Linked DNA regions of Mytilus edulis. The protein of the gene in region 1 interacts with the protein of each later gene in a biochemical or structural test. Links are inferred from orthologs where the notes say so. Each region holds a gene or a part of one and is shown on either strand. Other genes may lie near its edges.

What was found. The genes of interacting proteins can lie anywhere in the genome.
Region 2: of the proteins of leucine-rich repeat serine/threonine-protein kinase 1-like (region 1) and eukaryotic translation initiation factor 4E-binding protein 1-like, one has a biochemical effect on the other in vitro, tested with the Drosophila melanogaster proteins (2 studies listed by BioGRID). The link is inferred for Mytilus edulis from reciprocal best matches to the Drosophila melanogaster genes Lrrk and Thor.

Annotation. Positions count from the first base shown.
Region 1 is NC_092352.1:2,814,111-2,817,872, reverse strand, and holds the start of leucine-rich repeat serine/threonine-protein kinase 1-like, read right to left. Parts: upstream 2,897-3,762; 5' UTR 2,806-2,896; intron 2,668-2,805; exon of another isoform or gene 2,350-2,667; coding exon of another isoform or gene 2,308-2,349; intron 33-2,307; coding exon of another isoform or gene 1-32. Other genes in the region: uncharacterized protein, read left to right, coding at 1-32, 2,308-2,349.
Region 2 is NC_092352.1:10,082,587-10,086,348, forward strand, and holds the start of eukaryotic translation initiation factor 4E-binding protein 1-like, read right to left. Parts: upstream 2,527-3,762; 5' UTR 2,382-2,526; coding exon 2,243-2,381; intron 412-2,242; coding exon 247-411; intron 1-246. UniProt on the Drosophila melanogaster protein: Repressor of translation initiation that regulates eIF4E1 activity by preventing its assembly into the eIF4F complex. Hypophosphorylated form competes with eIF4G1 and strongly binds to eIF4E1, leading to repress translation.

The DNA.
Region 1 (3,762 bases):
CTCACACGCCAAGTTCATGTGAAGATGTTGAGGTAATGTAAAATAAGTATAATAATTGAAACACAGTGGATTTTAGATATAATATTTGTAATTCATGTTGTTCGTAGCCATGGTAATCATTTATATCTTGAATCTTTTTCATACTGTATGAATAAAAATAAAAATATACATTTTATGCACTGTTGAGCATGTTTATTTACATTTTTGTAGTTTGAATAATGTAACATTTTAATCATACCTCAATTTTTTTCATGTTTGTACTACAGAAGATGTATATATACATGTATATTGTTGCATGTAGCTTGTTGTTCGGTGTGAGTCAAGGCTCCGTGTTGAAGGCCGTACCTTCACCTATAATTGTTTCATAAATTGTTTTTTGGATGGAGAGTTGTCTCATTGGCACTCATACCACATCTTCCTATACCTATATATACAAGTGTTGCACATTAGTCAAATTACCATTCGTAGGCTACGCGTACCCACATCCGGTTTTACAATAAAATGGCATCGGATTGGGAACATGGGGAATGAAACGTGAAATATGATCAAATATAAACGAAATTTGTTGCAGTTAGTGAATAAATTGACTAAAACCACTCAGAAGTTTTAATTTATAAATATTTATATATAGGTATACATTTCAAAGTTATCATGAATAATTGTAACTATCAGTCAATCAATTTTATACAATTGTATAAAAGAAACTTGGAGTCAATAGACAACTTTCGAGTTCGATGTTGTTTGGACTGGTAACATTTGAAATGTGCAGGGTTGAAAAATGTGCCAAAACATTTAACCTATTGGATATATAAAAAAATTTCAAAATCTTTTAAACTAGTTACATAAATCTTATAAAATTGGTTTATTATGACATTATTACCTGCTTCTTTAATTCAGTTTTATATAGACATCCAAGCTTTAAGTAGTTTAAGATGTTTTATAATTTCAGTTTCTGTTTTACATTTCACTAAAAGATTATTTTTAAATCTCATATGGGTGGTTTTCAAATTCAGTAAAATCTAATTCTTTAAATATGCATTTACATTTAATAATAGTACTAATTTTTATCATAAAATTGAGAAAGGAAATGGGGAATGTGTCAAAGCGACAACAACCCAACCATAGAGCAGACAACAGCCGAAGGCCACCAATGGGTCTTCAATGTAGCGAGAAACTCTCGCACCCGTAGGCGTCCTTCAGCTGGCTCCTTAAGAAATATGTATACTAGTACAGTGACAATGGACGCCATACTAAACTCTGAATTATACACAAGAAACTAAAATTAAAAGTCATACAAGACTAACAAAGGCCAAACATGCCAGAGGCTCCTGACTTGGGACAGGCGCAAAATTGCGGCGGGGTTAAACATGTTTATGAGATCTCAACCCTCCCCCTATACCTCTAGCTAATGTACAAAAGTAAATGCATAACAATACACACATTAAAATTCAGTTCAAGAGAAGTCCGAGTCCGATGTCAGAAGATATAAGTATAACAAAAGAAAATAAATAAAATGACAATAATACATAAATAACAACAGACTACTAGCAATTAACTGACATGCCAGCTCCAGACCTCAATTAAACTGATTGAAAGATTATGTCTTCATCATATGAATATCAGACACAATCCCTCCATTTGGGGTTTAGTATCATACTATCATAAAATATATGATAAGAACATAACCTGTGTCATGCCAACAACTGTTTAAAAAAAATAAATGTGTTTAGTTCCGATGCAAAGACCCTATAAGTAAATCAATATTAAAGCCAAAATATGCAATCTTAAATGACCTGTCAACAGTATCAAAACTATATCCCTTCTTAATAAGTCTGTTTAAAGGTTTTGTAAGACTTTGAAGTGAATACTGACATTTTTGTGCATGTTTTTCATTTACAGGGACTGTGAAGTTTCATTTTCCATCAGTGTGCATTTAATTTGCAATATGGTTATTATGTATTATTATCTAATAAATACAATTTAAAAATATTATTTTTCATACTATTCACTCGTTCTACACGAAATCCCCACATTATCGATAATTTCCGTTTATATTTCACGTATCATTCCCGATTATTCCTGAATCATTCCTGATTTGAAAGCCTTTTATTAGAAAACCTGATGTGGGTACGCGTAGCCTATACGAATGGCATTGACTATTTGTACCCCCATGCGGGTACGCGCAGACATTGCCTATAAATAAGAACTTGGAAGATCAGGCATGAGTGCCAATAGATTGTTTAGATTTAGTTGCTGTTGTATAACTTATGTTAATTTGTCTGTACATTACAATTTTTTTTATTTCAGATACTGTCATACCTAATGCAGAGAAAAATTGAAACACATTGAAAATTCATAAAACACCTTATCACCATGATCAACACCATTTGTACGCTACTACTGGACTTCGCAAAGATTCTGGTAAAAATGTGATGTCATAATACAAAATATCTGATGCCAAAATGGAAAAGTGATTGTTGCTTGACATAAAAATATTAAGCAACACAGATTCTAGGGTCAACTGGCACAGATTTCAATTAACCATTTTTAGATGTATTCAAAAGGGAGAAGGGAATACCAAAGCACATGCAAATGACAATTCATTTCTTTTCATATCTGTATAAATAACTAACATTCAAATCTAGTTAATAAAAGATTGAAACCTTTTATTTTGGTTCTGTTTTTCAGTTGACAGTTGTAAAATTGTCACCCAAAAAATCGAAAAAAAACCTGGATTTTTCAAATTTTCAAAGGTATTATTTCCCTGTATGATTTATGTTTAATGTCATGAGAGTTCTGTGTTACCTTCATCTTATTCAAACCTTTCATTCAAACCATTTGATTGCAGAAATCTATTTTTGTTTGTGTTTTGTACAAATCTTGTGACTGCTTTCTGTTTATGAATAAAGACTGGAAGAAACGCGACGTATTCCGAGTAAATAATATAATTTATGTCCAGTTGTAATGATTTGGTAAGAATGTTCACCGTTAGAACATTTCTTTGTTGTAGTCAAAAGACTCAGAACGTACAAAAACAGCATTTCCGATTCAAACCATTTCTTCAATTGATTACATCAGAAGGTGCAATAATATTTTCCCCTCATTCATTCTTATTCAAAATTTATTAATCAAGTTACATAAAGATGCAGAAGATAAAAACGGTAAGAAAACGTAACAAAACTTTTAGTATTCACCCACAAAATAAGTGAATGCACTTAAAAATTACAAGTTTTGAAGTTTACGGCTCAATCCACTCAGCTCATTAAAACAAAAACAAACAAAACAAAAACAAAAACAAAACAAAAAAACAAATACAAACAAAAACAAAACATAACGGCATAACATAACATAACATAACATAACATAACATAACATAACATAACATAACATAACATAACATAACATAACATAACATAACATAACATAACATAACAAAACATAACATAACAATAAACATCATTATTGTACAATCCTAAAATCTGCTTAAAAAACAAAAAGACATTTCGTAGGGATGACATTAGGAACAACCACCCTTATGTACCATCTAAAGAAAAGAAGACAAGAGGGTGACGCTTTACACATAGGTCACAGGATACGAATGATAAATCCAGTCCTTTACTCAAGTAGTGTGGTCAATCATCTGAATACCAGTTGAGAAAACATCTCTGCAGTCGAGGGGACACTTTATCTGTCCCAATAAATGAAAATTTTACAAAAAGTCTCCGCATCAAGAACTATTAAGCGTTGAGGGAAATAACAACA
Region 2 (3,762 bases), about 7.3 Mb from region 1:
ACACTGTATATTTGTCTCATTGGAAATCATATCACATCTCCTAATTTCTATTATATATATTTAAATTTAGCAAATTCTGTTCCTTAACTTAATGTAGATTCATCACAGTCTTTTTATAATAAATTGAGCGGAAGTGTTAAAATTACATGGACCTGTTAAATTTTTACAAGTATTCTAATCTCTTACTTATAATAACAGTTCGACACAATTATTTTTCATTTCATCTTTTATTTAGAATGTACTTACTATTTTTCTGAGCTGGGATATTTTCTGTGCCATTTTCTTTAGGGACATCAACCTCCCCAGGACAGGTAACCCCTGGAATCTTTGCCATATTTGGTGGAGGACTTCTAGTTAGTGGGGAGTTCCTACACTGCATCAAGAAATTCCTCTCATAAAAAATCTTTGTTCCTAAAAATGAAATAGGACGATCTCAACTTAATAAAATTCATAGTACACACATTATGAAAACTCTAAGTTTTAACCAAAAAAAATTTTTAAAAAATTTACTCTCCTTGACCATGTTGACTTGTACCAACAAATGCACTTACCAAGGCAATCACTGGTCATGATCATTGTCATTTTTCAGCATTGCTTATACATGTACAAACAAAAACCAGTGTGTTTATTATTATGTAAATAAACAGTGAAGAAATAAAAGAAAATAAAATAGAGATTTCTTACAAATTTTTGGTCTGACAAAAGTTATCTATTAACCTGTCCCTACTACTAAAGAGATAGTGAAGTACCGTAAGCCTTGGCCAGTAAGGAGGTGTTCACCGCAAGGATACATGTACATAATTACATGTTTCCCACAAGTCAGGTCAATGACATGTACAGTATATGTATAATCGTGTACATTTGTTCATAAACAACAACATTGCATACTCTGTCAATTTGTTATTTAAAATCAGAAAATTGAAAATTGAAAACATGCCTGGGAAAATACATGTACAACAAAATTTCTTTAAGTAATGTTTATTTCTGCTTTATTTATTTTCCATTGTTCAAATCAATGAATGATATAATAGTAAAATGACTCATGAGAAATAACAGATGTTAACACTATACCAAATTTCATACTCAAGGGTGAACCTGAATAATATTAAAAAGTTTTTATTCATGTTTACTCATCGGTCCACTACTTCACTTTTAGACTATCAAATAATTGTCATATCAGAACTAGAGAGAGAAAAAAAAACACCTTGCTCTGGTTTAAATCCATGTATTAATACATAAATATATATAAGTAAGCAGATCAGGTCAATGACTCCTGTTTTAATTAATCAATGAGGACAAGTGTTGCAATTTGTTATTTAAAGAAATGATAACATATCTACTGTACAATTACATAAGGTACATGTAGCATCATGTACATGTAATTACTCAATAGCATGAACAGATAAATATTCAGTTTAATACATACACATTTATTTACAATTTACCCCTAAAAGACTTATGACCAAATTGATGCATCATTATGTACCCACAATACAATGATTGACCTATATATATATTAAATTACTAGGTCAATCTATTTATAGTTGAACAGAGTTCAATAAGCAAGTTTGAGGGGTTGAAATTGTTGCATCATTACTATTTAATTTTGTGACAAAACAAAGTACATGTTTCAGATAGTATGTTTACTCAAATAACTGTTACTGTTATTACATGTATGTACTAAATTTAACATATTTAATCTATTCTATATACACAAATCCTACATGTACATGACATGTCAAGCCCCAGTTTGGTTATTAATAAAAAGATCTCTTCACAGCACAATTATTCTGAAAAGGCAAAACTCTTAAATTTTACATTAAAAACATGTATAGATGTAAATGTATATAAAAAATATACTATAGTCTATACAAATCCTTGATGTATAAAATATTGTTGTTGACATTTTATATTATCTTTTTAGTATACACAACTTGTTGCCACTGTGTGTTTGTACTCTAAGGATAATCATATTCAAATGTTAACTAAATAAACATTACAAAACTTTACGTTGGGCTGTTTATGAGGCAGAGTTGCTGTGACCTAAATCATGAATGACATAATATGGGTCACATGGCTGCAAAAACATTAGTAAGTCGCCATTTTGAAATAAACATGCTTGTTTACAAACAACAAAATCTGCATACTGTATCACAACTTATATCACTATTCCAGACATGCATTTGCAAATAATATCTTAAACTGGAAATAAATAAAACTATAAAAGAAGACATGCGCTCACCTCCTGGAGTTGTAGAAAATAACGAACCGCCTGGTGTCGTACTGTAATCATTTGGGAGCTGTGATAAATCGTTTAACACTACTCGTCTGGGAATACTCTGTCCTTTAACATGTTGTTGAGGAGACCCAGATTTTGACATATTAAGATTAATTAACGAAAAGTGTTTAAAAATACGTCCAAGCCTTGTCTCCTTCACTTCTGTCTGTCTGTAGAATGTTGTACTCGCGTTAACCTCCGACCAAAACACAAACAAGTCACATGGCAAGTTGACCTCGTAATTTCCGACGAACCTACGGAGGTAAACGAAGTGGTCATCTTCCTTGTTTACGTTGTATAGTTCGTGAGGCGGTTGAATTTAAAATAGTTTATTAATACTTGAAATAGAAAAAAAAAATTGTATTGTATTACATTATATGATCTTATATGTCTCTCATAAAAATAAAAGCACATGTCTAAACACTATTAGTCCCAATTACTTACACGAAATTAAAACAAAGAACATTAGTACACAAAGTATTTCAATGATTACATTGTTGTTTTATTGATCCCTATCAGAAGCATGGAATTCATTGTATATTTTAAAAATATACCATTCCTTGGTAGAAGTTATGACAGTTATTGTCCTTGAAAGACACAGGCACTAGTCTCTCAGAAAAAAATTTCCTATAATCAGTAACCCGAATAATTCAGTCGTTATATTCCGCTGATCTACGAAGGCTACATTAACGCCTGAACGTCTTCCTCGATCAAGACCGTCAACCGGAAAATTCACACCCCTTTGCAATATGGGAATTTTGATTTAAATTGGCAGCTAAAGAAGGAGGAGTTCCGGATGTTAATTGATGATAAATGATGTAAACTGATGTTAATTGATGTTAATTAATTATTATCGGATTTGTGTTAATTGAACACACGTGTTTGGTAAGACAATTTCAAGAGAGTTGCGCCGACTCATATCCTGATCGCCGCTGATTGGCTCTCTCTCACAGAGAGCAGGCGACGCGGCCAATGATCACAAAGAGTTCAAGCCTTCGTGTGGGAGAAAATCGGACACGGAAAGGGCTTGAATTATTCGAGTTATATAATCAGAGACATATAATACATATGTCTCTGCTATAAATTAATATACCTTTTTATTAACCAACTAAGTGCATTATTTCCAAAAGTGACTGTTTATTAAAAATTACATATGTTCTGTAATGGCCCTGTTTTTTTTCTGTAATGGCCCTGTTTTTCTGTAATGACCCTGTTTTTTTCTGTTACAAATGGCCCTGTTTTTCTGTAATGGCGCTGTATTAATGCCCAGTTTTTTATTTTGTTCAAACTAAACTGTCATTAAAAGAGTAAGACAGTACATCAAGTTAGCAGCAACACATACACTTTTGTACAGTTGGTTAATAAATGTATTATATAAGAAATGGGTGTTTTTATAATGGCCCTGTTATATGTCCTCGGTCAGTAATAATGGCCTCGGATGTCTGTAATAGCCCTCAGCGTAGCCTCGGGCCATTACAGACTTC